Linked DNA regions of Coturnix japonica. The main gene of each other region encodes a partner of the protein of the gene in region 5 in a complex. Links are inferred from orthologs where the notes say so. Each region holds a gene or a part of one and is shown on either strand. Other genes may lie near its edges.

What was found.
Region 1: TAF1C (region 5) and TAF1D share a complex: the UniProt entries of both Homo sapiens proteins name them as parts of the transcription factor SL1/TIF-IB complex. The link is inferred for Coturnix japonica from reciprocal best matches to the Homo sapiens genes TAF1C and TAF1D.
Region 2: TAF1C (region 5) and POLR2L share a complex: the UniProt entries of both Homo sapiens proteins name them as parts of the pol I pre-initiation complex. The link is inferred for Coturnix japonica from reciprocal best matches to the Homo sapiens genes TAF1C and POLR2L.
Region 3: TAF1C (region 5) and POLR1B share a complex: the UniProt entries of both Homo sapiens proteins name them as parts of the pol I pre-initiation complex. The link is inferred for Coturnix japonica from reciprocal best matches to the Homo sapiens genes TAF1C and POLR1B.
Region 4: TAF1C (region 5) and TAF1A share a complex: the UniProt entries of both Homo sapiens proteins name them as parts of the transcription factor SL1/TIF-IB complex. The link is inferred for Coturnix japonica from reciprocal best matches to the Homo sapiens genes TAF1C and TAF1A.
Region 6: TAF1C (region 5) and RRN3 share a complex: the UniProt entries of both Homo sapiens proteins name them as parts of the pol I pre-initiation complex. The link is inferred for Coturnix japonica from reciprocal best matches to the Homo sapiens genes TAF1C and RRN3.
Region 7: TAF1C (region 5) and POLR1C share a complex: the UniProt entries of both Homo sapiens proteins name them as parts of the pol I pre-initiation complex. The link is inferred for Coturnix japonica from reciprocal best matches to the Homo sapiens genes TAF1C and POLR1C.

Annotation. Positions count from the first base shown.
Region 1 is NC_029516.1:166,172,783-166,177,200, forward strand, and holds the start of TAF1D (TATA box-binding protein-associated factor RNA polymerase I subunit D), read left to right. Parts: upstream 1-1,457; 5' UTR 1,458-1,567; intron 1,568-1,887; 5' UTR 1,888-1,900; coding exon 1,901-2,127; intron 2,128-2,212; coding exon 2,213-2,669; intron 2,670-2,796; coding exon 2,797-2,972; intron 2,973-3,390; coding exon 3,391-3,451; intron 3,452-3,766; coding exon 3,767-3,880; 3' UTR 3,881-4,418. Other genes in the region: C1H11orf54 (ester hydrolase C11orf54 homolog), read right to left, coding at 1-19. UniProt on the Homo sapiens protein: Component of the transcription factor SL1/TIF-IB complex, which is involved in the assembly of the PIC (preinitiation complex) during RNA polymerase I-dependent transcription.
Region 2 is NC_029520.1:8,951,693-8,954,342, forward strand, and holds POLR2L (DNA-directed RNA polymerases I, II, and III subunit RPABC5), read right to left. Parts: upstream 1,206-2,650; 5' UTR 1,123-1,205; coding exon 1,028-1,122; intron 885-1,027; coding exon 776-884; 3' UTR 592-775; downstream 1-591. UniProt on the Homo sapiens protein: DNA-dependent RNA polymerase catalyzes the transcription of DNA into RNA using the four ribonucleoside triphosphates as substrates.
Region 3 is NC_029518.1:13,944,332-13,948,842, reverse strand, and holds the start of POLR1B (DNA-directed RNA polymerase I subunit RPA2), read right to left. Parts: upstream 2,967-4,511; 5' UTR 2,922-2,966; coding exon 2,769-2,921; intron 2,690-2,768; coding exon 2,522-2,689; intron 2,395-2,521; coding exon 2,248-2,394; intron 2,103-2,247; coding exon 1,970-2,102; intron 1,656-1,969; coding exon 1,519-1,655; intron 48-1,518; coding exon 1-47. UniProt on the Homo sapiens protein: Catalytic core component of RNA polymerase I (Pol I), a DNA-dependent RNA polymerase which synthesizes ribosomal RNA precursors using the four ribonucleoside triphosphates as substrates.
Region 4 is NC_029518.1:15,725,556-15,729,144, forward strand, and holds the end of TAF1A (TATA box-binding protein-associated factor RNA polymerase I subunit A), read left to right. Parts: intron 1-339; coding exon 340-460; intron 461-1,623; coding exon 1,624-1,784; intron 1,785-2,634; coding exon 2,635-2,756; 3' UTR 2,757-2,969; downstream 2,970-3,589. UniProt on the Homo sapiens protein: Component of the transcription factor SL1/TIF-IB complex, which is involved in the assembly of the PIC (pre-initiation complex) during RNA polymerase I-dependent transcription.
Region 5 is NC_029547.1:8,327,141-8,331,562, reverse strand, and holds the start of TAF1C (TATA box-binding protein-associated factor RNA polymerase I subunit C), read right to left. Parts: upstream 2,994-4,422; 5' UTR 2,902-2,993; coding exon 2,770-2,901; intron 2,396-2,769; coding exon 2,302-2,395; intron 2,143-2,301; coding exon 2,036-2,142; intron 1,950-2,035; coding exon 1,854-1,949; intron 1,771-1,853; coding exon 1,697-1,770; intron 1,629-1,696; coding exon 1,381-1,628; intron 1,304-1,380; coding exon 1,193-1,303; intron 1,106-1,192; coding exon 982-1,105; intron 902-981; coding exon 830-901; intron 741-829; coding exon 605-740; intron 517-604; coding exon 388-516; intron 285-387; coding exon 110-284; intron 17-109; coding exon 1-16. Other genes in the region: TMEM8B (transmembrane protein 8B), read left to right, coding at 3,149-3,329. UniProt on the Homo sapiens protein: Component of the transcription factor SL1/TIF-IB complex, which is involved in the assembly of the PIC (pre-initiation complex) during RNA polymerase I-dependent transcription.
Region 6 is NC_029529.1:40,647-44,419, forward strand, and holds part of RRN3 (RNA polymerase I-specific transcription initiation factor RRN3), read right to left. Parts: intron 2,537-3,773; coding exon 2,473-2,536; intron 1,968-2,472; coding exon 1,898-1,967; intron 377-1,897; coding exon 278-376; intron 1-277. UniProt on the Homo sapiens protein: Required for efficient transcription initiation by RNA polymerase I (Pol I). Required for the formation of the competent pre-initiation complex (PIC).
Region 7 is NC_029518.1:27,798,772-27,803,326, forward strand, and holds the start of POLR1C (DNA-directed RNA polymerases I and III subunit RPAC1), read right to left. Parts: upstream 2,813-4,555; 5' UTR 2,770-2,812; coding exon 2,701-2,769; intron 2,628-2,700; coding exon 2,556-2,627; intron 2,460-2,555; coding exon 2,352-2,459; intron 2,261-2,351; coding exon 2,128-2,260; intron 1,568-2,127; coding exon 1,448-1,567; intron 1,233-1,447; coding exon 1,080-1,232; intron 945-1,079; coding exon 795-944; intron 269-794; coding exon 152-268; intron 1-151. Other genes in the region: protein YIPF3, read left to right, coding at 2,900-2,962, 3,033-3,239, 3,314-3,420, 3,502-3,547, 4,137-4,229. UniProt on the Homo sapiens protein: DNA-dependent RNA polymerase catalyzes the transcription of DNA into RNA using the four ribonucleoside triphosphates as substrates.

The DNA.
Region 1 (4,418 bases), on a different chromosome or scaffold from region 5:
ACTTCTCTACCTTGGCCATTGCCTGCTTGGTTCTGATTTCTTCAGGTTAGAAATTACAGTGTAACACACTGCAGAAGTGACTGATCTGTCAACAAAGATAATGGTTTAGTAATTAAAAACACACTGCTTTCAATATGCAATTTATCTGTCAAATTCACCCGAGAATACATAGATAACAGTAGAATTGTTATTATACCATTGAGGGAAAAACTGACAGCTTCAAGATTAGTGTTTTCTCATGGTTTAGTGGCAGCTATTAGTGGTTTAGTGGCAGCTATTAGTAATATGTGGATGGTTGTACTGAATAATCTTTCAGGTCTTTTCTAACCTTGGTGATTTTATGATTCTATGTGCTTTGGAAGCAGGTGTGCCTACCAGCTCTGCAGCTGCTTCAGAGCATTACATCTGTTAGTCCTCAAACTTCCATCTCAGTACAGACAAAATATGTAATACGCTGAACCTAATTCAAGGGACAGGTCAGTTATCTGTCCTTTGTAAACCCAAAGCCACGCTTTTCTAAGCACAATAACTGCCTTACCCGGTCTTCACTACCTTAATGTTTACTTTTCCAGCATTGGCTATGATGGACTTTCAACCTTGGCTCCCAGTTTCTTATAGGCACGTGTTTCCAAAGTGGAAGAAGGTTGTAGTGCATCTCAAAGCCAAACAAAGGCACCAAAGCAGCAGCAAGTTGTACAGCACTGGACTCTATATCAGCTCAGAGCCTTTCACAGCAAGCTTTGTTCAGAACAGAAATGTTGGAGCTTCTTTTGAAACGAGCTATATTTCAGTCATGCAACAGCATAACCTGCTACGAGGGCAAACCAGCAGCTCCAGGCACAAGCAGCTGGTTACATGCTACCTATAAACCAGCCCCAGAAATCATTAACTCCTTAGGCACACGCCTGCTGCACGTAACAAAATAGGAACCTTTCATGGAAGAAAAAGCGAGACTTTGAGCTCAAAGTTCAGCTACCTCAAGTTCTGCCTGTAACAAGCAATAGAGCAAGAAAGCAAGCTGTCTATGTAGAGTGATTTCCATCTTAGCTGGGGGCTCGTCCGCTTCTATGGGCGATTCTCCCTTCTGTGAAGGAAGCTGTCACAGGAACGCTGCAAACGGGATGGCAGGAAACAACCGACACGTCGAGACACTGCGGCTTTTCTTTTCCAAGCAGGAAAGGGCAGAAAACGGAAAGGAGAAGTTAATGGCTGGATAGAAACGCTTCATAGCGGGGGGCTGGGGGGAGAAGGAAGCACAGCCAGAGCCACAGAGCCAACAGGGACAGCGCCAACGTGCAGATGAACTCAGCAGAGAAGCGAGAAGGGAAATTCAGGCCACGTAAACGAGGGTAAAAAGAGTCTAAAAAGAGTCCCGGAGCCAAACCTGCAGGAGCCACCCTCTGGAGACCCACAGCGAGCGGGAACCGCAGCCAATGCCCACAACCTGCGGCCGCCCATCCCCGCCCCCCTCACGGCACTCCCCGCCCCGTCCTGCTCTCGCGAGAGCCGAGCGCTATTTAAGCTCGGGGGCGGCCATTGCGCGCCCTTTCCGGAGGTGAAGCGTGAGGTGAGTGTTGGGTTGGTGATGGCGGTGCGCTGAATCCGCTGCCATCCGCCGTGTGAGGACCCGCTGTGAGGCTGGGGTAGAATCAAAGCACATCCTGTCGCTGAGCGATTCCTAGACGGAGCGCAAGGAAGGCCCTGGGGCGGGTGGGATGTGGGAAATGGGCTCCTCATGGCGGCCCGGGGCTGTGGTAGAGCGGCGGGAACCGCGCAAAATGTCCGCCCCGGGATGGTGGGCGGGAGGGGGCTACTGTGAGGGAGACACATACGTTCCTTGGATGTGAAAAGCTTTGCCTGGGGTAAAACATATTTAATTTCTTTCAGGGCAGATTAAAACATGAGTGATACAGATGAATCCCACACCTCTTGTTCTGATGATCCTGATGCTCAGAGTCTCGTATCCACTCAGAGGCGAAAAAGATCTAAAATACCTGAGCGTGCAGTGAATGCAAGGAAGAGACGTTTGTGCTCGAGGCAGAAGGACGCCACTCCTGAGGAGTCTTCAGATGAGACTAGTAGTACAAATACATCTTCATCTGAGGTGGATAGCAGCGATTCAGAAATGTGAGTTACCTGGTTCCTTAGAATCACTTACGAACAAGACTCATAAACGTATGTGCTCTGTTGAATGTACACGTTTCTTTTTCAGTGATGTTTCAGCTGCTCGGGGCAGCAAACGCTCTAGGAAATGCACTGCTCCCTCTGCGGAGCAAAAGAGGAGATCGCAGCCTTCAAGGAAACAAGCAGGAGCTGATGCACGAGTGTCTGATGGTGAAAGTCCTGACTCTTTGCTCCCTGAGAGCCCGGTGAGGCCACCTGAACCCTCCCAAAGGAGGAAATCCAAGCTCGATTTGAAAGCCATTTTTGCCTATCACTTCAGAGGAAGGAAGTTTAAAACTGCTGCGCACCGAAGATACAGGAGCGGTGTTTCACGGAAGACAAAGAGACGCTCGGAACCCCCAAAGAAGCGTGGTGGGAATCGGCCCATGACAGCCCCGCCTCAGGAGCGAAGGAGAAGGCTTCGGGATCCAGGCTTTCAGTTCCCTTTTGTTGAAAAACATTATGGGAGGAAACATATTCCCGTAAATATGGTTCTTAGCTATGAGGTGAGCCCTGTGTTTTGTGGGAGAGAACCAGCTGACCTAAGGCTGTCATTTAATGTTACAGTCTGGTTGATTATATAAATGGTTCATTTCTTTGTTTGTATTTAAGATCTATTCCTTTTTTTTGCAGCAAGCAGCTGCGAAGGGATATTTCCAGTATGTTGAAATGCTTAAAGCTGAAGAACACCTCAAAAAGGCTTTGAAATCCCTTGAAGCAAATGAAGACTTAGAAAGGGAATGTCTGACAGCGCGGAAACATAAATATTTAGATGACAAAGGCCCCATTTCTCCTATCCAGGAGACAAAGTAAGTTCATTTTCAGTAGTATAAAAGTTGCTGTTTTGTTCTCAACTTAAAGTCTGTGTGTTCAGCATTGCTGTCTTTATTGTCTGGCACGTGCATTATATTAATTGGTGAAATACCTCTTGGATTTTTCTGTAACTCAGTAATGGATTCTGTTGGCTTAGCACTGCTGTGTTGTGTGCTCTCTCCTCATCCTTAAAAGAGCAGAGAGAGAAAATAAGTAACAGCTCATGGCTTTAGATAAGGATCTTGTTCCACAGGCTCTCAGTGTAGCCTCATGTAGAAGTGGGAGCATCCCAGACCTGTAAGCTGTAGCGTTTCCATATGCATTATGAGGAAGTGGTGCTGCATTAGGAGAACAGCTTGTTTATGCTGCGCTACTGTAGAAGTACAGATTTGATTTGAATTTCCTGCCTTTCAGCAATGACGATGATAACTGCTTGGGCTCTGATAATCCAGAAGACTTTGATGTCAGAGTAGTGGTGAGTAAACATCCATAATTTGAAAACTATAACCTGTTTTCTCTTTTGAGGTGTTAAATAAGTAACAGATGATGCTTTGAGTACTTAATTCTTGAGCTTGGATCTGGAATTAACCAGTTTGTGTGGTTTTGGTGTGTAGTACAAGAGGAAATTGGTTTGAGAGAAGTCTGAGCTCTTTGGAATTATGTTGGGATGTGCGGAAATTGGGCAGTTCTCTGAAGCGTCCATAAAACTTCCTAAAGGAAGTTAGTAATAAATTGGTACTTCAAGTGTCTCCAAACCAGACTTGAGAATGCTGTTTTTTTTTGTTCTCAGGACAAAAGCTGTTTCATTATAAGCAGCAAAATTCCCAACAAGAAGAAGAAATCAAAGGCCAAAACAAAGCGAGCAAAGTCAGCTGGAGTGATTGAAGAAGAATGCTGCTGCTAAGTGATCCTGCTGAAATAGCACCTTCCGCAGCCTGGCTTGTGGAACCAGCAGGTCACAGAGCTACAGGACTAAGAGTTCCAGCTCTTGTAATTAAGCAGTGTAGAATAAACTAATTCTCCTAAATCCAATATCATAATCTCAAGCTGCTTTAAAACAACTAGCAGTGTGATGAAAAGTTCTATTCCCTTCTTCCCCTCCTCAGTCCAGAGTGGGGTCTTACGAAGGTGACTGAGCAGAGATAGAAGCCCTTCAGCACAACAGGGACTATCTGCTGATCTTGTAGCATGAATGGGAACTTGTTGCGGTTGCTCAGACTAGATGTAGGAGTGGGGTTCTGGCAGGGTAATGCAGTGAGGTGGGTGTGGAGTCCTGCTCATTCTGCAGTTCACGTGATGAATGTTTCTGTTCAACTGCTGAGTGACTCAGAAATGAACTAAATTTCAATTCTGATTAGAACTGGACCTACACATCTGAACAGTGAGTGCACTGCAGCTGCCAAATTGATTGCTGAGAAGTAGCTTTTGCCTGTAGGAATCTC
Region 2 (2,650 bases), on a different chromosome or scaffold from region 5:
CAGAGAAGTCTGATCCAGCAAGCAGTGGAAAGGTGGGTTGTTTTGGCCAGGCAGTCCCAGGCTGCACATACATCCTATATGAAGCCAATGAAATGACTGACAAGTGGGAAGCTTGCACTCATACCAGCAACAGAGCAGTGCAGGTGTTTGGCAAGACTCTGATCCTGTTCACAGTTACATGCATTAATTCTCACATCCATTGCCTTCAGATGTATTTTACCTAAGTGAGGAGCACTGCGCCACCTGATTTACTGTTTTCTGTGATGGAGCTGCCAGTCTGCCCCAATTTTTAACAAGACACTATAGGCTGACTTCAGTGAAAAAATGAGCTCCGCTAGCACTGCAACCTACTAAGAGTAATGCCTCATTCATAGCAAACAAACATCCTCTGTGCTGTTTCTGGAGCCTGGAACTTTGCTCTCTTTCTAACCCCCCTTGATTGCCCTAGCTTCAAACACTGTATTTCTAACCTCAAAATGACCACTGTGAGGAAATAGTGAGATGGAAGTGTATGCTGAACTCTACCCAGCAACTCCAGGAAGGCCACAGGCAGAGGCTTCCTCTAGTTCAACATTTTACATAGACAAATGATTGTATTTCATAAAACACATTTATTTTTTACGGGCAAAAGCATCCTAAAGTTCACAAAAAGAAACCAATAACAACCTGTATGTAATTAAAGAGAAACATCTACATATGTAAGCTGTAGCTGTGAAGTGGATGTCGGCCTTCATTTATTTCCTTGGGAGAAGCTGGTGGCTGGGTCAATCAACTCTCATTTCTCCAGCGGTGCGTAATTCAACAGCTTCTCAATCAGATCCACGTGTGCCAGGAGCATCCTGCGGCAGCAGTAGCGCTTCAATCCGAGGGCATCCAGGGCATCTCTATTAACAAATAACAACACGATTAAAAGAAATAAATACAAAACGAGTCAGAACCGCTCGTAAGTGCTCCTAAGCAACGCAATGATTGCTCTGAGCTTAGTTTAAAGCAAGGTATTAGCGTGTGCTGTTAATATGACACCCACCCCTCGGTGTACTCCGCCTGCAGGAGCCCGAGATACGCCTCCCACTTGTTGCCCACGATCTTGCCGCACGTGAAGCATCGCACCGGGATGATCATGGTTCGCACAGCGCCGCTTCCTCCTGCAGCTGCCCGAGCGCAGCCCTACGGCCGCTCCCACTGCACCGGGGGGACACGGGCGGTGCGAGCCGTTCTTGCTCAGCCGTGAGGATGCAGAGCGGCGCTGGAGCTCCCCCGTTCCCGCACAGGACGGCGGATGGTAGCGGCCGCCCTACGGCTCCTTGCGCGGCTCAATAGTGTTTGCGAGCGGGGCGGGCTGCTGATCGCGTTTCGCGTGCGCGGCGCGTGGTGGCAGCCGGGGCCGGCGGAGCGCAGAGCGGAGACACCGGCGGGGCGGGCTGAGCCGAGCCGAGGAGGCGCCGTGCCCTTCCCTCCCTCCCTCCTTCCTTCCTTCCGCGCTCTCACTTGTTGCTTTACACCCGGACTTCTGCAGAAGGCACTTCTTCATCGCGTCCTGCTCGAGGTACCGCAGCCGCGCGGGGTGGAAGCGCAACTGGTGGCTGCAGCCCGGCGCCAACCAGCGGGGCACGGCAGCGCTGTGGGACGGGGCAGCACGTCGCACTCCCCTCCCTTTTCCTCCCTTTTCTTTCCCTTCCCGGTGCGCGCACTGGTAGCGCCAGGCGCGGTCCGTCTCGCGGCTGTGTTGGCGTCCCCAATTTGGGGCGGTTTGCTCCGTGTCCTCGCTCCCCTTTGGAAGGGGAAGGAGCCGGGCAGGGGCTGCGCTCCGTGAGCTGCGCTCGGCGCCGATTTGCGCGGCGTTGCCCGCTCATTTGGAGGAAGCCGGGCTGCGGAGCGCTGCCGTGGTCAGCGGGGTAAGCGAGGTTAGCGGTCCCGTGGCGGCGGCAGGTCAGTCGGGAGTTGCTGAACTCCGGGTCTGGGGGCTGTGGGGGGTGATGTGGGGGGGTTCAGGGCTGCCCGCTGTAGCGTTCCTCGGTCTGTCGGCGAGCCGCGCGCAGCGAAAGCAAACGGGGCATAAGCCGTCCTTGAGGCGCTATCCCGCTCCCCGGAGGGTGGAGGCGGCCGTGGCACCGCGAGCGTCGCGTTGCAGCTTTACTGGCTGCCCCCAGCCGGGGAAGTTGGGCTGCAGCGGGGGATGCGTCGTGAAGCCGCGTGCGATCCTCCCGTGTGAGCGTCGCGCGGAGTGCTGCGCTATGCGATGCTTGTAACTTGAGGGCGGCACGTTGCTGTTCGGGACAGACTGGGTTAAAGCGTCACCCCGAGCGCTGTCGGTCCTTAGTGCCCTCTTGCTTCACGGTTGTCCTTGGGCAGAGCGGGGATGCACCCAAAATACTGTATTTTGCTGCTGGAGCATCTGCGAGTTGATACGGCGCGCGGCGCAGAGCCATTACTGTCAGGCGTATAAAGTCTTAATGCACAGCTTATGTTAATACGCCTTTCGTGCCTGTGTTTTGGACCGCTGGGTTGCTGACCCTCCGCGCAGACCTAACTTGAACTGTAGAGGAGCAAATAGTTTCGTTTTAACCGGCGAGGTTGTTTGAAGGAGGTTTTGCAAACGTTTCCTAATGAAAAGACAGCGATTTTTGCAGCCCCGGGGAGTGATTGCACT
Region 3 (4,511 bases), on a different chromosome or scaffold from region 5:
TTGACCAGCTCTTCAAAAATCTGGTAGTCTGTGAAATTAACTAATGCCTGAAAGACAGATGCACATCAGATCAGAAGAACAGTCGTGGCAGTATCTGGCCATAAAACAGCAGAGGTTGGGTACCCCAATGATTTAGGTTTTCGGTCCTCTGGAAATGGAAAAATACTGTGGGATTAATGTACTTCAAGAGCAGCACAGTGGATATGAATGAGGTGATGATCACAAGTGGTTCCAGTCTAACAAAACCCTTGGAAAAACAAACAAACAAACTTGCATCCTCTATCTTAAAAGGCTTCTTTTGTCTCAAGTTAACTCCTTATCTCCACAGAAGTCAAAAGACAGCTTAGCCTATTACAATCCACTTCAGCTTCAGCAATTCATTTTCTACATCTCATGCTTAAATCCTGTGTTCTGAGCACTTGGTGTTATAATGTTTCCTAGTTGTTTATGTCAGGGTTTAAGTGACCATTCTGCTCACCAGTAACTGGCTGACAAACCTCCCCCATCTGTAAGCAAACTGTCTCTCCACTACATTTAAAAAGCCTTCAAGAAGCTCACAGAAAAAAAAAAAAATGGGAACGGCATGAAAAAGACACGTAGACAGATTTCTTTATTAAACGGCTGATGAAGGGGGCATGCAAACCCATGGCATGATATTCATGGAAGAATTCAAACTTTAGACAGTGCAGCCTGCTTAGCTTATGACATCCTGTAAGCTAAAGTCAGTATAATGCCCTTGCTTATTAAAACACAGGGTAATTACCTATCTCTGCTGACTAATTTTAAGTCCTGAACACAGGAGGCTGAAAGAACACGTAAATTCCCTGAGACCAGACAAGCTGTGGTGCCACAGGCCACAATTTGCCCTAACCCTTAGCTGCTGTGTAACACACAGCTGAAGCACCCAGGCTTTGCTGTTTTTAATGGAGAAATTTGGAAAGGCTTGACTAACATCAAGCTTTCCCTGCTACTTAAAGAGCAGCTTAACTGCACCCAATGTGCTCAAACTGGCACTACTGGTTTTGTCTTCCAATTCTTAAGTGTTTCCAGTTCCAAACAAAAACAGCATTTTATTTTTCTCCTTTAAAAAAAGAAGAGAACCAGTTTACTGGTTTCCTTTTATATGAGAGCTTGACTTTAATGATTAACACTGTTATAGTCGAGGCTGACCTAACAGTTTCTTAAATGGTCAATGAATTATAAAAATACTCCTAGGATCTTTCTGGTTAGGTTACAAGCCCTTACATCCTCCACGAACTATTAATCCACAACATTCATTAGCAGGAAGCCATAATACTTTGGCATAAGCCTGCATGCACTTCCTCTGCTCCACCTGCACACTGCATCACACATGCAGGCTCAGTTTGCTCTACAGTTCTTCAACCAACATCGGAAATATGACCGAAAATACTTAACATGGCATCAGCTGCCTCTCATTACTCATGAAAATAGAAATGCTTAGTGAAACTTCTGCATTTATTTAACACAGAAAGAGTGTAATGTGTATTATTTGTTTACCTTTAGAGCAAATCCCAAGGGAAGGAAGAACAGCTCTTTCTGAAAAATGAAGTTCAACATTACGCAGCCATTTTCCAGGTAGTGAAGGTTCATGTTTATTGCGCTGTGCTCTTCTTTAACACAGTGCATCATTATTCCTGCAGGAATTAACAGAAGCAAAAGCCAACATGAGCTAAGCAAGAAATACAGACAGCACTTATGTGAGATGTCCGAGCCGGTGTGAGATGATTCAGTAGATCAGCACAGGCAGCTCAGAAACCACCTGAAAGGCAAGCACTTGCCTCATGCATCACTATGGTGTTACCAACCACTTGGTTTCCTATGTAGTACAATTTACCTGAAAACATGAACACCATGCAACAGCAACAACAAAATAGCAGCTCTAGTTGGTCATCCCTGTTTGTTTATGAGCAGCTTCTGGAGGGATGTGGTAGCAAGGCCTTTAGCTTACCGTACTCTGTGAAGCCAGGACCTCTGTTTTTCCACTTGTGTCTCGACAGTGCAAGAGGGAAGTTGCGCCTGGGCATAATCAGCATTCTAATAACCTTCTCTAAGCCGTTAATTATGAAGTAGCCCCCCATTTCCTGTCAGAAAGAAAAGGCTTTTAATGCGCTTGAAGTATAATTTCAAGTAAAATAAGAAAACGCTTCTACTATGTTATAAAAACACTCAAGCCTAACACTGGCCTAATATACTGCATGTTGTCCTGATACACAAGATCCTCGTTACCTCCTCCTCCTCGTGGTGCTGGATGAGCTCTTGGGGAGAAAGATTATAAAGGTTGCACAATTTGGACTTCACCATGATTGGAATATACCCCACAGGCTGTTTAATGGTCCCTTGTGGAATGCCATTCACTGACCAGCTGATGTCAACCTAAAACGATACAAAGCCAACAGTGAGCAGACTGAGCTGGACTCGTTTTGTTCCCGGTATAATAACCGCAGGACACAGCTCTCTGAACGCTTCCCGAAGCCGTAGCTGAGGTAAGAAACCCGCTCACCGTCAGCCTCCCGCGGTACGTGCTGCGCAGCCCGCGGCACTCGGCCGGGAACACCTTCACCTCGTGGCACAGCGTCCCCTTGGGCACCAAGGGCGGCGAGATGGCGACCCCCACCACGGTGAGCGCCACGCGGCCGTCCTTCAGCGCCAGCTCCAAGGGCGGGATGTCCTGCAACACACGGCAGCCCACAAGTCAGGGCGAGCTCCACCAAGCGCCATCCCCGCAGCCCGCTCGCCCCCCCCGGCACCTGCAGCGCTCGGTACACCCCCTCGCTGATGGCGTAGTTGAAGGACTCGATGTGCGCGGCGGTCAGGTCTCGCCGTACTCCGCTGCGGGGCCGCTGCCGCCGTCTCAATCGGTGCGGCTCGTGGGCCATGCCCTGCTCCATGGCGGCCGCCATGCTGCCTCCGTGCGCCTCCTCCGCTCCGCCCCGCCCCGCCGGCTGCCGGGACACTGCGGGGCGGGGCGGGACGGTCGCGAGGCGGAGCGCGTGCTGCCGAGTGCTTCCCGCCCACGGCCATGGCAGCCATCGCTCCTGAGTGCCGTGCCCGCCCCATGTAACAGCGCCCTGTGCCATGACAGCAGTGCTCGTGTCCCACAGCACAGCATCCCCCTGCACCGCGTCTGGCTGTGCTGCAGCCCTCAGCACCAATCCCCTCAGTGCCCACATCCCGCTGGGCCGCATCCTTCACTGCCTGCATCCCCAAGTCCCTCAGTGTGCCAGCAGCCTGCCCGCCCTCACGGCCCCATGGTGGTGGCACACACACAGATAAGCAGGAGGTGCTTATCTCTACGGAGCAGGCTTGCAGCTCCTGCCTGCACCAACACCATTATCAGGCCTACAAATCACACCCCAAAATCCCCCCAGGTATTTGGCACGTAGCCCTGTTGGTTTGCCTTTATCTTGCTCTTGTACCAAACCACTGCCATGGGGCTTGATGCGCTCCTTGCACCGCACTGGTTCCTCCATCAGTGGATCTGTCACCCCACTGTCCCAAAGAAACACCGCAGCCATGGAGATTTGCTTGTTTTAATGATGCTTGAGGACAGACATGGACACGGCGGCTGGAAAAGCACAAGCTGGGAGCCCTGCCGGCTGTACACGTGCATGCTGACGTGCAGGCGGCCAGCACGGAGACCCAGAGCCATGGCAGGAGTGTCCCATGCACCCCCAGCATCGGCTGCTTTCCGAGCCATGTCTCTCTGCAGTAGCTGACAGTGGGAATGAGGCACCACCATTAACGCATGTATGGCATGGCACAGCTCCCACAAGGAGAGCTGCACGCAGAGAACACTAAATGATAGGACAGGGGACATGCAAGCAATCCTAAAGGGCACTGATGACAACAGGTCACAGCAGCTGAGTGAAGCAGCATATAAGACCTCCACAGACTTCTCCGGTGTTTGTCATGGCCTTCGGTAGGAGCACAGGAGCTGCTGCTGCCACACGGGAGTCTGCAGAAACCCAGAATCCAGCTGGACCAGTCCCTGCTGGTCAACAGCCAGGGCACCTGCATCCTACATCCTTCATGGCTGATGCTGAACTAAGTCTAGAGACAGCCCGCCATATGGTGGGTATCTTCTTGAAACCTAGCACCATCCTTTGCAAAAGCTTAGGAAAGAGACTAAGACCTATTCTACTGCCCTTTGAGCTGAAAGGAGCTAGAAAACATCTGGTTTTGCATTTTTCTAAGAAAAAAAAACACCACCCAAAGTCTCTGAAGGTTTTGCGGGCATTACTTGCAACAGCTGCAGTGCTCAGGCCTCAGCCACACGCATGTCCCCTCCTGCTTGGCTAATACATGGGACAAGAGCTCAGACACTGTGCTGTCTGTCCTCTATCATTTCCCACCCGTGCTTTATCTCAGTGAGCATGCTGAGGGCAGGTGGTAAACAGTGGCAGGCAGTACCTGCTGTTTTCCTCCAGCAGCTGTTGCTTATCTTTAAGAATTCAATAGATACCAATGATCAAAGTGTCCCTGAATCACCA
Region 4 (3,589 bases), on a different chromosome or scaffold from region 5:
CACAGGAAGAACATGTTGAACAACAGCACCGGCTGGAAGCACTGATTACAACAGCAGCAACTGTTGTAAGGAAGGCAGTGTGGGTTAAGTGAGTGGTCTTGTGTGCCTCTTTGAGTCAGCAGCATTTAAGGAGGGTCTCTGCAGTGAAGTGTGCTCTAGACCCATGGACACTTCCTTGGCATTCTCTCTTGGAAGAGGCAGAAAGCAGTGGGGGGAGCCCTCAGTAATAGGGAAAGCAGCGGTATGTGGGAAGGCAGTTTGGAGAATGTTTTCCCTGTTGCTTACTAGTAAGTTCGTATTAATCCAACTGATTCATTTATCAGCCTAATTTCTTTCCAGAGAAACAAAAAAGACGTCGACTGGGGCTAGAAGTTATTTTTGCAGTCTTGGATTATGCTGGCTGGAAGGAAAGTGTAAAAGCATGGAGTTGTTTGGCGAGACAGGTGAAACAAATTGTAATGTGAGTGTAACTGATGTAAGGTGCTAAAAGAGGAATGTATGTGTCAAATCTCCTCCTGCGGGCAGTTGACAAAGTGACTCTTCTGTAGTCTTTGTCTTTCATGATGGCAAGTGGAAGAGTGGGCTGGCCTGTACTGAGATCTGTGGCTGTGCTTGGCTGCAGCATGCTTTCAGTGGCAGGAAAGAAGAAATTATTACTGAGAGAAATTCTTAAATTTCCAGTATTATCATTAGCTGAATTACCAGGTGAGGTGTTTATGCAGAAAATGCTGTTCAAATGTTTGGATAACATTTACTGCCTGTCACTGTTCTCCTTCCAGGAGGAAAAAAAACCCAACAACATTGTTTGGTCTTCTGCTATTAAACATATATTGGTTGCAGCAGATTTGAGGATGAGTGTGCTGCAAAAGGGATGTGGTGCGTTGTGCTGTTGTGTCGTGTTCTTCTTTGATAACTTTGGTGGTAACTTCTTCAGAATACAATGTGTTCTTAAAAGCCAAGTCAGAGTGCCTGGGGACTGATAAATACTTGCTTGTGTGTTGGGAGGAGGACTCTGTTTTCAGGAGCTCCATCTCCAGGCAATCCATGCTCAGAAGGTCTCTAATGTCTGGGGTTTTTTTTTCCCCAAAAGTAGAGGTTTTAATTTTTCTTTTAAGCCTTGTATACTTACAATGAATCAATTTAGTACCGCTTGACCCATTTTGCTGTTTTATTGCTGCCTCTACATACTCAGAAGGCCCGAAAGTTAATGGATTAAAACTGAGAGTGTTGTTGCATATAGTTAGGAAAAATGGTACAATACTTCAACTTTGCCTGTAGTTTTGCTTTTGAGAACACAACTTCAGAGTACCTTGAAATATACAGGGCATCTTAATCACTTTATAGGAATATCACTTCCCTGTTTTCAATTGTAAAATACTGTAAGGTCTCCACTGCCGAGTTAACTCCACTGAGTTAATGGAGTAAGGTAAGTATATGAAATACAGTAGTGTTTAATTATGCATAGATTTATCCAAAGTTTTTCTTTTAAAAAGAAAATTGCTGCTTAAATAGTTCAGCCTGCAGTGTAGTGTCAAAGTCTGCCAGCACACCAAGCTGATTATAAAACTCAGTGCCTCCTCTTTACTATTTCATCTCAGTTTTTCTTGTTTTACCTTTTTGCAGTTCTGAGAAGCATCTTAACTGGATTAAGAAGGAGTGGAACTCCAGAAAGGACTGGTGGCCAGCCTTCCATTTTAGCCGCTACTTAGCAAAGAGGAATTGGCAGGAAAATGAAATCCTTTCGTATGAAAAAGCTCTGGTGGCTGGAGTTCTACTAGGAAAGGGTAATACTAAATGTTCTTTCACACTGTGTACACTAGAAAAAACACCTAGTTCTAGCCCTAATGAGATAAGATGCAGCTGGTCTACTCCCTGGAAGAATGCTGTTTCTTTCTTCTAGGAAAGACTGTGGTCTTTGAAGTTCTATGGGAGAAAAACATTTAAAATGGTTTGATATTCCTCATTTAGAGACATACATTGCATAACTTGCCTTATCCCAGGTTTGAGTTCAATTTTATTTGGCCTTGTTGAGCAGTCACAATACTACAGACTCTGTTTATAACCTTGAAACCACAATTTCAAAAATATACAGCAGGCTCCTGAGGCTACAGAAAGTTTGCTCACTGAGCTACAGTCTAAGCAATGTCTTAGCAAATACTGAGGGTGAGGTGATCCTTAAGGACCTTGTGAGTGATGAAGCATAGAAAAGAGGAGGAAGGAGGTCTTGAGTGAAAATAGTCACTGTCCAATAAAAAAAAAAATGAAGATCAGGACTTCTATGGTGGTGTTCACTGAAACATTGATGAAATCAAGAAGTGGTGACGAAGTTCAGAATGAGAATATGGTGTGGAGAGCATAACTTATCTATTAAGTTTGGGCCTTTAGTTAATTAGAAGCTTTATTCTTTCAGTTCTGTACCTTACCTTCCAGACTCTGTAGAACAGTTTCTTGAGTTGAAAGCCTGTTTAGGTCTCAGTAATTTGATGCTGCAATTATGTTGATAATGTGTATGTCTTTGATTGTTTTATTACCTTATTTAATAGGTACTTGCATGCTTGTGTGTTACTTAAAAAGCAGAAGTGTTTTGTTTGCTTGTATGACAAAGCTGACATGGCTTTTTCTTCTCTTGCTTAGATTGCAAGTACTTTAAATACGTGTCACGCCAAGGCTGCAGAGCTCAGGTGAAAAAGTTTCGGACTCTCAAGAAATTTGTGAATAAGCACAGTAGTGCCTACCTGAGCATATCTGGTCTTTGAGATTCCTCTGTACAACTGTGATTAAAAGGTGTCTTGATGGTCTTGCTGCATTCTTTTTACCCTTTTGAAACTGGCTTTTTTTTTTATTGGCATTGGTCTAAAAGCTGCTCTAAAGAGATGAGCTGTCAACTCCAGTAGATATTTTTTATATATATTTCTGTTAAAAGCATTTGGTTTGTATTTATTTTGTAATAAAATAATTATGTAAATCAACAGATGATGCTGAAGAATTTCTTTGCTATCAGTTTTAGATTTCTCTGAAATACAAACAATCAGTAATTTCAGGCTTACCTTGAACTACTTGGTAATTATACTATAGAATCTGTGTTGGTGATACTGTGGAGTGAATCTTACGTTCAGTTGTATGGATGCTGATTTAAATGGCTGCTGGAACGTGGCTCAAAATCCACTCAGGGCTGGATGTGGCAATCCTAATTAGTAGGCTGTCTTAACCTATGAACAGTGTGTGATGCAGCATGAAAGCAACTTTCTCACTATACATGTTGCGTAACTTACTGTTTATGACTGATTTCCTAAAAATTTTTCTTCTTGGCCACCTGGGCACACTGTCAGCTCATGTTCAGCCCAGCATCAACCAACACCCCCAGGTCCCTTTCCTCTTCACAGTAATTCAGCCCCAAGCCTTTAGTGCTGCATGGGGTTATTGTGGCCAAAGTGCGGGACCTGGCACTTGGTCTTGTTGAGCCTCATCCCATTCACCTCAGCCCAGAGATCCAGCCTATCCAGATCCCTCTAAAAGGCCTCCCTACCCTCAGGCAGATCAACACCTCCTTCCAACTTGGTGTCATCTGCAAACTTACTGAGGGTACGCT
Region 5 (4,422 bases):
GCCATCTGGCTGCCCCCTGCAGTAAGACATGTCAACAATGAGCTGGTGAGGCAGCATGATCAGGATGTGGACATGAGGGGAATCTGCGTTCCCCTACCTGGTTTCTCACCTGTGTACTGCAGCAACAGCAGCTCCTGAGTATGAGAGGTGCCCAGCAGCACTTTATGACTCCTTCCAGACTCTCCCGGCACAACATCAGCGAACAGAGGGGGGAATTTCATCATGTGTGCCCATTTCAGCACAGGCACCAGCGGCAAACGCTCGTCCAGCAAGTACACGGCAAACTGAAAGGGGGCAAAACTCAGCAGGGTGCCCCCCACCTGCATCCAAACCAGATGCACGAGGTGGGTGGGGAGGTCTGGGGACACTGAGCCATGGAGGACTCACCTGGGTGGCAACGAGGTACTGGCAGGGGTGAGCCCTACCCAGGTACATGGGCAGTACCACGCGTTCACCCTTCTGGCACTTGGCTTCCTCACCCACCTTGAAGAAGTTGAAGTGGCATCTAGTGGGGGCCTGCAGTGGCATAACAGGGTGCTGTCAGCACCATGGGGCTGACATAGGTCACCCCACAGCCCACCCTGAACCCCGTTCTCATGCTCACCCGAGTATCCAGGCACAGGATGCCAGTGCGGTCAGCACAGCTCAGCACCCGCGGGTGAGCAGTGAAGTCACTCCAGCGCCAGGGTGAGTGGTCCCGGAAAAACAAGGTCTGGGGGTCATGGCGGAGCCGCTGCAGCCTGTAGGGAAAAGGACAGAGCTCTTCCTTGCTGTGGGGCACCCCTGCCTCCTGCAGCACCAAACACTGGGGATCAGAGCCCCAACTCACCCTGTCTCTATGTTCCATAGATAGACAGCTCCACTCTGCGTACAGACTGACAGCTCCCCAGGCAGGTGTGGGCTGTGGGGCAGAGACATGGCGTTACATTGGAAGGCTTGTAGCTGAGGACCTTCCCAGAGCTCTGTATTCCCACCACACACCTGACGGTGAGGCAGGAAGCTGGCACATCAGTGTGGATGACCTGCAGTGAGCTGGGGGCAGCCCCTGTCTTGCCTGACATCCTCCAGACACCACAGTAATAGTCAGAGCGAACGCCAACAAAGTCTAGTAGGAGACAGGAGAGAGGGCAGATGAGAGAGCAGGGATGCCACTATCTCTGTATGCAGTGCACATGTCCCAGGGCTTACTCACCCTGCCCATCCACCCGGGCAGCAGCTACTTGCCGGATGCGCCCGTTGAGCTCAAACTGCACTGGCAACCCCTGGGCCCGCGGCTGCTCCTCCAGCACCACATTCTGGAAATCTGGAGTGCAGGCTAAGGGCACTGCCACACAGTGCTCCCCTGTCCCAGAGTCCCCCAAGTATCATAGGAAAGGATACAGAGGTGGTTCATGGCCAACCCGCCAGGGTACACCAGGCATCCCATGTCACTGCTTGCATCCTGAGGGGGCAGCCAGGCTAGTGCTCCCCCTGTGGAACTGTCATCGAAGAGCAGTCTGGTCCACTGTAGCAGCAGCTCTTCATGCACGCAGTCGGCCAGCAGTCCCAGTGGCACCTCAAAGAGCCAGTCCCGGCACAGGTGAGAGAACAAGCGCAGGTGGTTGGCATACGGATGCCGAGGGCAGCCACTGTGAGGGGACAATCAGTGCCAGGTAGGTGTCGGAGCCCACCGCCCTCCCAACCCAGCAGCACTCACCGCCTGGCTTCCATATTGTTGATCTTCTTCACCATGGATGTCATACGGATGGTTGTGTCCTTGGCACTGCCTTTCTGCAGGGAGGAGAGAAGTGCCACTATGAACAGAAAGGAGGGGGTACACCAGTGCCCCCCTCAGCATCACCAAGGACACTGACCCCGAGGCTGTAGTCTCCCAGGTGGAAGTTGTTGTGCAGCAGCTGCCCCAGGGAGCTGAAGGCGTCCTCAGGATGATCCACAAAGAAGTGCCCTAGCTGCGTGGGGACAGCAGTGTGGGGCTGTGCAGTGATGTCATGGTGGAGCTCAGCCCTGTCTCCTCAGCAGCACCCAAGCCCTGTACCTGCTTGGCAAAGTCCAGCGCAGCCCCAGACTTCCCAGTCTGCAGCTTTCTATGCAGGACACCGTGGTAGAGAATATCCTGAGCGGTCACACTGGGGACCGAGCAGCCTGTGAGGGGGCAGGGGGCGGCGGGGGGGGGGGGGGGGGGGGGGGGGGGGGGGGGGGGGGGGGGGGGGGGGGGGGGGGGGGGGGGGGGGCTGCCGAGTGCGTCCCAGCACCAGGTGGCAGCCCCATTCTCAGCCCCCCCTGTGCCCCCTCAATCCTCACCCACGTTGGGCGGCAGCAGCGGCACCGCCGCGGGCTCAGCCGGCGTCCAGCTCTCCCCCTCGTGGCTGCGGAGGGGCACGAACGGCGGCAGCACCTGCAGGGACAGCGGGGAATGGAGGTGAGGGTCAGTGCCCCCTCAGTACCCTCAGAGCCCCCTCAGTACCCTCAGAGCCCCCTCAGTGCCCACAGAGCCCCCTCAGTGCCCACAGAGCCCCCTCAGTGCCCACAGAGCCCCCTCAGTGCCCTCAGAGCCACCTCAGTACCCTCAGAGCCCCCTCAGTGCCCTCAGAGCCCCCTCAGTGCCCACAGAGCCCCCTCAGTGCCCACAGAGCCTCCTCAGAGCCCCCTCAGTGCCCTCAGAGCCCCCTCAGTGCCCTCAGAGCCCCCTCAGTGCCCTCAATACCCTCACTGCCCCCTCACTCATTGCCCCCCAGGCCTCCCCCATCCCGTTCCCCCGTTACTCCTCACCTGCCGCCGTCCAGGCCCGGCCTGCAGCACCTCTTCCCGCTCCCCCCATCCAGCGGCCGGAGCCGGACGCCCCTCGTCCCTGGTGGGGCCGGATCCGAAGTAAGAAGGGAAGAGCACGCCCGGGAACTCCATGGGCGGTACCGGGGGCGGTAATGGTGAGCCCGGTACCGGATCCGGACCGGAAGTGCTGCGCACGCGGTCCCGACGCGGTAGGAAGTTGGATGACCGGGAAGGGCGAGGCCTAGAGTGCGACAGCGCCCCCTAGCGTGTGGGAGGTATCATGGCGAGCAGAAAGCGGGGCCGCGCCGGTTGTGAGTGACAAGCAGAACCGCCAATAGGAAAATTGGGGAGGGAGAAAGGGGGCGGGACGGATGACGTCATGGTCGCCCCTGCGCGGCGGGGCTGCTGGAGCCGCGCGCCCCTCGGCAGCCGGCGCGGTGGGATGGGGCGGCGGGGCGGCGGGCGGGGGCGGCCGCTCACACCGATACCCCTCCTCCGCCTGCCCCTGCTGCTCCTGCCCCTCCTCCTCCTCCTCCTCCTATGGCCGCCGCCGCCCGCCGGTGAGTGTCGAGGGGCCGAGGGGGTCGGGGAGCTGAGCGCTGCGTGGGGGATGGGGGTGAGGAAGGGGGGAGGTGTGTGCTTGTATTAATGGGGTGAGGATGGAGCGCAGACCGTCCGCAGCATCTGCCCGCCGTGGGATGACAGTGTGTGTGATGGGGTGCGGGATGTGTGTGCAGCGAGATGTGGGGTCAGTGTGCAGCAGGGCACGTTGATGTGTGGGGTACCCCACATTACACCATGCAACTGAGTATAGGGTGCGTGGGCAGTGGGGCAGGACGTGTGAGCACAATGGGGCATATTCATGTGTGATGGGAGATGGCAGTGGGGTGTTGGCATAATGGGACATGGAGATGTGTGTTCGGTGGTTATGCTTGACAATAAGCAGGCTGTGGGGCACGCGTGCAATGTGGTACATAGGGAGGGCTCAGAGGTGTGCGTGCTGGAGGGACACAGGTGGTGTAAGTGCACAGGGACACCCAGAGAGAGGGGTCAGACTCATGGTCAGGGGTTACGGGGATCTGCAATTGCAGCGTGTCACCTGGACAGAGGGCTGTGAAGTGGGGCAGCAGGGATGCATGCAGTGCGGGGGATGTGTGTGCAGTGAGGATGAGTGGGGGGACACTGGAGTGAATACGTGATGAAATGAGTGTGCTGTCGGGCTCTGGAGCTGCCTTCATTTGGGGGCTGCGGAGGGGTATGCGGTGTTGTGTATGGGGGATCACGGAGGAAGGGGGCCGAGCTGTGGAGTAGAAGCGCTATGGGGCCCTATGGGGCGGCTGGGGGAGCTGTCCGTGGTCCTGAGCCCGACATCAGGTGAGCTGTCCGTGGTACTGACCCTTCTGGGAGAGGAGGTCGCCTCTCTTCGGCCTCTGGCCTGGGGCAGAGGCGCTCTTGCTTTTCTCCTTTCTCTCTTTCATAGATAGGAAATTCTGTTCCATCTTCCTGCTTTTCTGCCTGTGCTGTGGCCTCACTGCCGCAGGGCTCCAGCCTGACTCTCCCTGTGCACCTGTGTGCCCTCACTTTACCTCAGATGAGTGGGCTCCAGGAAGTGTAATGGGGTCAGGAAGCTCTGCGTGCTTTCCCCATGCCATG
Region 6 (3,773 bases), on a different chromosome or scaffold from region 5:
GAACTTTAATATCAACTAGTTCCAAGCCCCTTGCTATAGGCAGGGACACCTCCTCTAGACCAGCTTGCTAAAAGCCCCCTCCAGCTTCTCTCCCATCCCACAAGGAGGACAGTGGGTGCAAGCAAACTGCTGTGTGGTGCTTAGCCTGCCACGTTAAACCACAACAGCCCTATTCTGATGATCGTGAGTTCTACTGGAACATAATTTTTGTTAAGCTTAATACTGAAGAGTATTTTAACGTAATTCTTCTTTGAAAGACTATACAGAGCAAACTCACATCCAACTTTAGCAGCTTTTCAACAATAAGTTCCAGAATCTGAAGCCTCAGTGTTGGAAGGTACACTGTAACTCGTAGTAGGTTATGAACATAACATTCCTATAACACAAAATTAAGAGATATCTATAAGAATGTTAACTGAAAGTCTAGGATGTCAAGGATTTTTACAAAATATATTTCCTAACTTGTCATTTAAAGAGACAGATACAGGTGAAAAGTACCTTTTTCCAAGTATCTCCAGCAGAATAAGCATAAGTCATCAATTTCCATATGATTTTTTTTTTGCATAAACCTTCCCAAGAACATGAAAACAACAAGCATATTACTCAAAAATTCTAGAATCAGGTCTAGCAGCACTGTTTGAAGCGAGGCCAAGAGATCTTCATTTCTGGTTACTATAATAAACAGACAATTCTAAGTACCACAGCTAAACATCCTTAGAGTTTTTCTGATTACAATTCAAACAGATTAGAACCAACAAGTTCTGTAAGTGAACATGCACTCCCACACATATACAAACGCAAATGGCAAAAGTGCAACTTTATAGAGTAGAAGTGTCAAGCTAATACATACAAGCAGCTAAAAAGACACATTTAAGTGCACCACAGTCTCTTTGTAAGTATGTAATATAATGCAACCCTTAATTACACAAACACACACAATTTTTCAACAGGCTATATTGCTCAGCGCATATAACAGACAGCACCAGTTTAATGACAATCTATAAGCTGAAAATATTCAGCAACAATGCACGGTCAACATGTCAATTATGCTCCACTTGAGTCCCACCCTGAAAAAATTTCTCCACAATGCGCATCTCAGTGAAATACTTAAAATAAATAAATAGATAAATAAATCCCTTAACATCCTTTGAGCAACATCTACCTCATTTTGCAGATACAGATTTGATGCCCAAAGCTATTTGGATTTAAAAAAAAAAAAAAAAAAAAATCTAGCAAGAAGTGCCAAGTATTCAGTGCAGGGAGGGAAGAAGTAGTTCTTGAGAGGTTCAAAACAGCTCCATCTGACTTTAATGAGTAGAGCAAGCAAATGACAACATATCAAGTTGTAAAGAGTGAAAATAAAGACCATACAGGAACAGTAACTTTTCAAAGTCTCCAGCTTGCTTTCCACCACACAGGAGCATCGTAACAGACATGTAATAAAACTACACAATAACCTATCCTATAGATTTCATCTAAATCATCCATTGCTTTCTGTCTGCCTATCAAATTCCTTGTTCTTCCAAAGAATACTTTCTAATTTTTACACTGAGACAGGTATTCCACATTATCCTTACTACACAACTCTGAGACTTATTATCAAAGAAGGCCATCTTGTGCACTGATTAAGAAAACAATCACGTGGAAAAAGACATGCAATTATCTCATTAAACAGCTGCATAATGCTTATGCACAGGGAACTTAAGCATGTTTGGACAACCTTTCATGATACAGGCACACCTGGACATATGTTTCCATAGTTAAAAAATTACAAGAGTTTTAAACGACACATTCAAAAATCTGCATAAAATACCACCAAATCAATCATTATACGGTAGAGTGTTTTCCTATATTAAGAAGTGAGTGAACAAATAGATGTAATATTCACAGTTCTTACCAGAGTTCTTTCTGATTTATTAATGAAAGGAAATTTTTCCACAAGTATTGGCATAAGAAACTGCAGTGTTCTGCATTAAGGGGGAAAAAAAAAATACAGTTTGTTATCATGAGAACAAGCTCCAGCACTACAAAAACAGACTGGAATCAGTTTATTCTTACTTCACAGTAATGTTATTTTAAGATAACTGATTACATAACATTTGTTCTGTTACTGCAGAGACAACAGGCAGTAAACTTTTACTGTGGATTTGTTAAAAGCTACCTCAAGTCAGCTGCTATAAGCATGACTTTCCTTGTGTTTCCTATTGCTATTAACAGGATTGTCAGCTGCTGATGTCTATTGGCATTTTACGATTGGATATAACATCCTATCAGTTACTGGGCATTAGGAAGAGTCATTCAATTAAATTAAGTATTGCATTTCCAATATGGAGAAGAAAAAAATATATATATTTTTATATATATTTTTATATATATACCTTATATATATATATATATATGTTCTTGAGCTTTATATCCAAGCTTTATTGTCATAAGAAAAGAGCAGAAGAAACCAAGGAATTAAATACTTACGAAGGAACATATCTTGCGACAGTCTGCAATGCTCTGTGGCATGTATCAAAATTTTCAGAAAGGCCTAGAGAACGAAGAAGGTGCTATTATCCATTTGGTTGCAGAAAACTAACTCAGGAATCAATTAAAACAGTTCAAGTCAGTTAAACATTTTAAAGATCCCCAAGGAGACGGCATTCACTGGGTTTTGTTGTCAGGGTTTTTTTGGTTTTTTTTTTTTGCATTGTTTTTTGTTTTTAAGTTGGACTGCCCAACTACTAAAGTAACTATGAAAATTAACTCCAAGTACAATTCATGTTATGCTAACAAATTCTTAATTTGCCACCACCACCAAAGCCAGGTATTGTTGCCATACTACTTACGCTGAATGCCTAACTCGGAAACTGAAAATTTACACCCCCCAAAAAAAAAAAAATTTTAGAAAATATCATAGTATCATAGTCTCGTGCGGGTTGGAAGGGACCTTAGAGATCATCGAGTCCAACCCCCGGGATTCGAGCCTCTGTGTAGCAGAGCAGCACTTCTACCTCTTGTGCCACAGGGGGGATTAGAACTCCGAGCCCCAGTGTTGCAAGGTGGCATTCCTACCACTGCACCACCGGGGCACACTATACATTAAAATCAAGTGAGAAACTAGATAAAAATAAAAAATTATGCCTTATTTAGCAAGAGTTAAAACAAGAACACAAATAATTAGGCTTCTTTAACAATAATGAGATGAGCCACCTGAATTCTGGGAAATGTTTTTAAACTGGAAGAGAGCAAGATTTGGACTAGCTATTATTAGGAAGAAATGCTTTACTGTAAGGGTGGAGAGACACTGGAACAGGTTGCCCAGAGAGACTGTGGGTGCCCCCTACCTGGAAGCATTCAAGGCCAAGCTGGATGGAGCTTTGAACAAGCTGGTCAAGAGGGAGGTGTCCCTGCCTACAGCAGGGAGGTTGAAATGAGATGATCTTAAAGGTCCCTCCCAACCCAAACCATTCTGTGATTCTATGATTTTTTTTTCCCCTTGAATCCAAACAGTGCCACAAGCAAACACCAGAGGAATAGGTATGTCAACCCAAGCTGAAATTCAATACAGCATTCAAGATACAAAGATGCAGATAGTTAATTATCCTGTAAGAATTCAATCTGTCTAATCAATAAACACATAGTTTTCATTATTTATATCAATTGTATTTGAGTTTACCACAAGCAGACAACAAAAAGCCTCAAGAATTTCCCAAACAGACCAGTTTTATTGAAGTAAGTAAAATGAAAACAGACAACTCCTCCCTATCCTTTGGCTTTGACACTAT
Region 7 (4,555 bases), on a different chromosome or scaffold from region 5:
CTCCCCAGAGGAATACAAACATAGGAAGAATAACGATGCCAAGTAGAAGGGAAAGACTGAGACCAAGGTATGCACACTGGCCAGCCCCTGCTTGTTTGTACAAAGCAGAATCGGGCTGGGCACTCTGCTCTGCACAAAACAGGCTACTTACAGATGTAATGATTTCGCACCCTGGCCAGGCGCACCAGGTTTTTCAGACCCTCGTGTCGGAAGACTTCCCTGCTGAACGTGTCCAACCGTGCGTTGGCTACTCTTGCCACCTTCTTTCCTAAAAGGAGAAGACAAAACAAGGTGGGCACCGGCAGCAGATGAGCACCTTGGGGTCACAAAAAGTACTTACCCCTCAAGCAGCAGAGGCAGCAAAGCCACATATAATTAGCACATCCCTAACATGAAACTCCAGCTTGGCAGAATTCATTTCCTCGAACAGTTCTAAGCCAAACACAAAGCCTGTATGTGCTCCTGGGCAGGACACAAGTCCTCCCCGTGCTCAGCTGTTACAAAGAGCAAGCTCGCTACCCAGACACCTAACAGTAGCACAGGGCTCTACAGACAGGCATGCAACACATAAGCATTTCAGGGAGATCTCAGTTCACTGCTAAAAACATTTGTGTGTGACAGCCACTCAGCCACTACAACCAGGCTCAAAACAGCACCAACTGTTGTTGATCAGCAAGACAACATCGCAATGTGTTATTTTCCCAACAAGGTTTGACTACAATCTCTACTGTCTCTATTCAGTCACTGCTAAGACTTGTTAGGAACGAGGCACTTTACAGCTGGAAAGAAAGTACCCTTGACGTTCTGGATCTCAATGACTCCAGGGGAAAAGCACTTCTGTAACGTCTCGGCTGCCTCATCCTCGATAGGCTGCAGGAGAGTGATGTCAGGAAGCAGTCGATAACTAGCTGTGGCCACAGGAGAAAACTTGGCATGATCTTTACCTGCACAAAGAGTTCAGAATTAAGGATGAGGACAGGCCTTGGGGTCAAGCTAGTTCTCCAGTGTTTCCCATCACACAGCTGTGCTCGAGTCCAAGCACCAGCACACCCACTCCCCAGCTCAGACCCAGCACTCACCTACACCCTTGACGCAGTGCATGAGCACATCTATTTCCTGCCCAGGTCTCAACAGTGCTATAAGGATGTCGTCGTGGACAGGTCGGAAGTCAGCATCCGGAAAGAGGTCTGTCTGATTCCCCAAGGGAACCCATGTCATGTGCTTACTGTACACTGCCAAAAGAAACCACGAGCATCAGCCAGCTGCTGCCTCAGAAAACAGGTTGCTGACCTGAATAGGAGATGGCACAAGCAAGCTATGTATACTGTGAGGAAATGAGCTGTCTCTGCTCACAAGGCAAAACACCAAGAGAGAGAAAGAAGAAAATGAACAAGAGAAAAAGCAGAAAGCTGCACCTACTTTTAGGGCAGGCACAAGGAGCTCTCACCTTTGTGATTGAAATACAGCTCGTTTGGGTCAGACGATTCCTTGGCTGCCTGAGGATTCCGGCTGCATTTTATTTTCAGCTGGAACTGCAGAGTATCAATTTCCGTCCCCTCTTCATCTCCTGGAAATGGCAAAACAGTATCTTTATGGAAGTGAATTCTGCTTTGTTGAAGTGTATCCAGGGGAGGGACACATGAATGACCCAGTGATGGAACATCTCTCCTACGAGGATGGGTTGAGAGCTGGGGCTGCTCAGCCTAGAGAAGAGAAAGCTGCAGGGAGACCTGGAAGCGGCCTTTCTGCACCTAGGAAGAGCATGCAAGAAAGAAAGGGACAGACTCTACAGCAGGGTCTGCTGTGATAGGAGAAGGGGAAACGGTTTGAGGCTTAAAGAGGGTAGATTTACTTTAGAGATAAAGAAAAAGTCTATTACTGAGTGAGAGTGGTGAAAATGAGGGTGGTGAGGCACTGGAACAGGCTGCCCAGAGATGCGGCTGATGCCCTGTCCTTGCAGACTTACAAGGCCAGGCTGGGCAGGACTCTGAGCACCTGGTCAGATGTAGGAGTCCCTGTATGTTGTGGGATCGTTGGACCTGATGGCCTTCATGATCCTACGGTGTGACCCCAGCTCCTGGTTATGGGCTCCACCCTCCCCACCGCTGTTCGACCCGAGCCCCTCACCTTGATTCCTGTACTCAAAGAGCCGCGGGTCGGCCCGGATGGGGATAAGGCCCAGTCGGTGCGCCAGGATCTCGTCCTGCACGATGGACGTGTTGTTGTACACAAACACCTTTTCCACAGCCATGGTCGGCACCTCGGGGGGACGACAGAGCGAGGCGATAAGCCGCCAAGCAGGGCACCGCACGGGGACCATCCACTCGTCATGTCTCCCAGCCCCGCGGTACCTCAGCGAGCAGGATGCGGCGGAACGCGTTGGCGATGGCCGCGTCGATGCCCACCATGTCGAACTCGAGCACGCCGTCCTCCTCCCGCACCACGTCCACGCGGAACCCCTGCTCGGGAACCGCGCCGCGTCACGACGGAGCCGAACAAGGGGCCCCGCAGCAGCAGCTCCATCAGCTCCATCATCTCCATCAGCTCCCACTCACCTCCTCGAAGCGCCGCTGGTCCCACGCGTCGTCGTACCCGGGGTAGTTGCCTGGGAAGTCAGTGGTGTGGACCTGCGGGGGGCGCAGCCCGTGAGGCAGCGGGGGGTGATGCGGGAGCCGCCCCGCGTCCCGCCGCCCCACGCACGTTGCGGACGCCGAACTCGCCCAGCACCACGCGCTCCCGCATCTCGTCCGTGCCGCGCCGGGCCGCCATCGCCGACGGAAGGACGCGCCGCCGCCCCGCCCCGCCGCACGTAAGGCGGCCATGCGGAACTGACGGCTCTCGCGAGACACGGAGCGGCCGGACCGTCACATCCGCGTTGCCGTCCCCCGTTACCGGCGCTATGGCCGCGGCGGGCGGCAGGAGCGGCACCGCCGAGTGGGGCGGCTTTGAGGACAACGTGCAGGTGGGGCCGGCCCGCGGGGGGGGGGACAGAGGGGCCCGAGCGGGCGCTGACGATCCGTGCATCGGAGCAGGGCGGCGGCTCGGCCGTCATCGACATGGAGAACATGGACGACACGTCGGGCTCCAGCTTCGAGGACATGGGGGAGATGCACCAGCGCATGAAGGAGGAGGAGGACGAGGAGGCGGAGGGCGAGGCGGGGGCCGGCGGGGAAGAGGACGGCGAGTTCCTGGGCATGAAGGGGCTGCAGGGGCAGCTGGGCCGGCAGGTGGCCGACCAGGTGAGTGGGCTCACGAGCCGCCAACAGCCCCGCCGGCCCCGGCCCCGCCGCTGCACGTACCGTTCTGTCCGCAGATGTGGCAGGTGGGGAAGCGACAGGCGTCCAAAGCGTTCAGCCTCTACGCCAACATCGACATCCTGCGGCCATACTTCGACGTGGAGCCCGTCCAAGTGCGCACCAGGTGGGCAGGGCAGCGGGTGCACGGGATCTGTTGCTTCTTAATGACTGTCCTGATGTCGTTCCCCGCTGTGCCGTAATGCAGGTTGCTGGAGTCCATGGTGCCCGTCAAGATGATCAGTTTCCCACAGGTGAGTTCTCTCTCACTGAACCAGACCCCACAGCCTGAGTGACTGTTCCACAGAGACCCCTCAGATGTAATTAGCCTGTTATTAAGGATCCAAGTCTGTTAGATGTTCACCTCCCTCAAAGTATCAGTAAACCCTTTCCTATGGTTGTTCCAAACCCCATTCTCATAGAATTGTAATCATAGAACATCCTGAGTTGGAAGGGACTCATAAGGCTCACCTGGCTCCATACAGCACCACCCATAAATCAGACCATATAGCTGAGATCATTGTCCGGATGCTTCTTCAACTCCAGCCAGCTCACTGCTGTGACCGCTGCCCTGCACAGCCTGTGCCAGCGCTGCCTTTACCTTCCTGCTACCCTTAACGCTGGTACAGTTGTAGAACTCTAGACCTCACTTTGCCCATTTCTGCATCCTGTTGAACACCACTCTGACTCATCACAGTCTGTTCTGTGTGGCTTCTGTCAGCAGTGGCCTTGCAGATGCTCCTCGGGTGATAAAAGTCTCCAAGATGCTCGTTATGTCTCTCAGGGTGGAGAGCCTGGAAGACAGGAGCACTAACTAAGCCTCATCTCTCTCTTTACATGTAGAAGATTGCAGGTGAGCTTTACGGACCCCTCATGCTGGTCTTCACGCTGGTGGCCATCCTGTTGCATGGGATGAAGACCTCGGACACTATCATTGTATGGCGAGTCTCAGTGATTCATTTGTGCTTTGACCGGGTTTGGGATTGCTATAATGACACTGGAAAGGGAGAGGAAACCTCTTCTGTATCACAAGAGCTGAAAAGCAGATTTGATCTGAGGAAGATCCTTTTGGTTTTGGAGAGGGGAGGAAAGTTGCATCAGAAAGTCCCAATGCTCTGTAGCTGGGAGAGATGGGGTGTAGGTCGTGGGGCAACCTGCCTGCTGTTAAGCCAGCTGTTTGTATACATGTATGAAAGGCTCTGGGTGCTCTGCAGTGAAACTCAGGTGCTGGCAGGCCCTTGCTCTGAGTTCTCTCTGTCCTG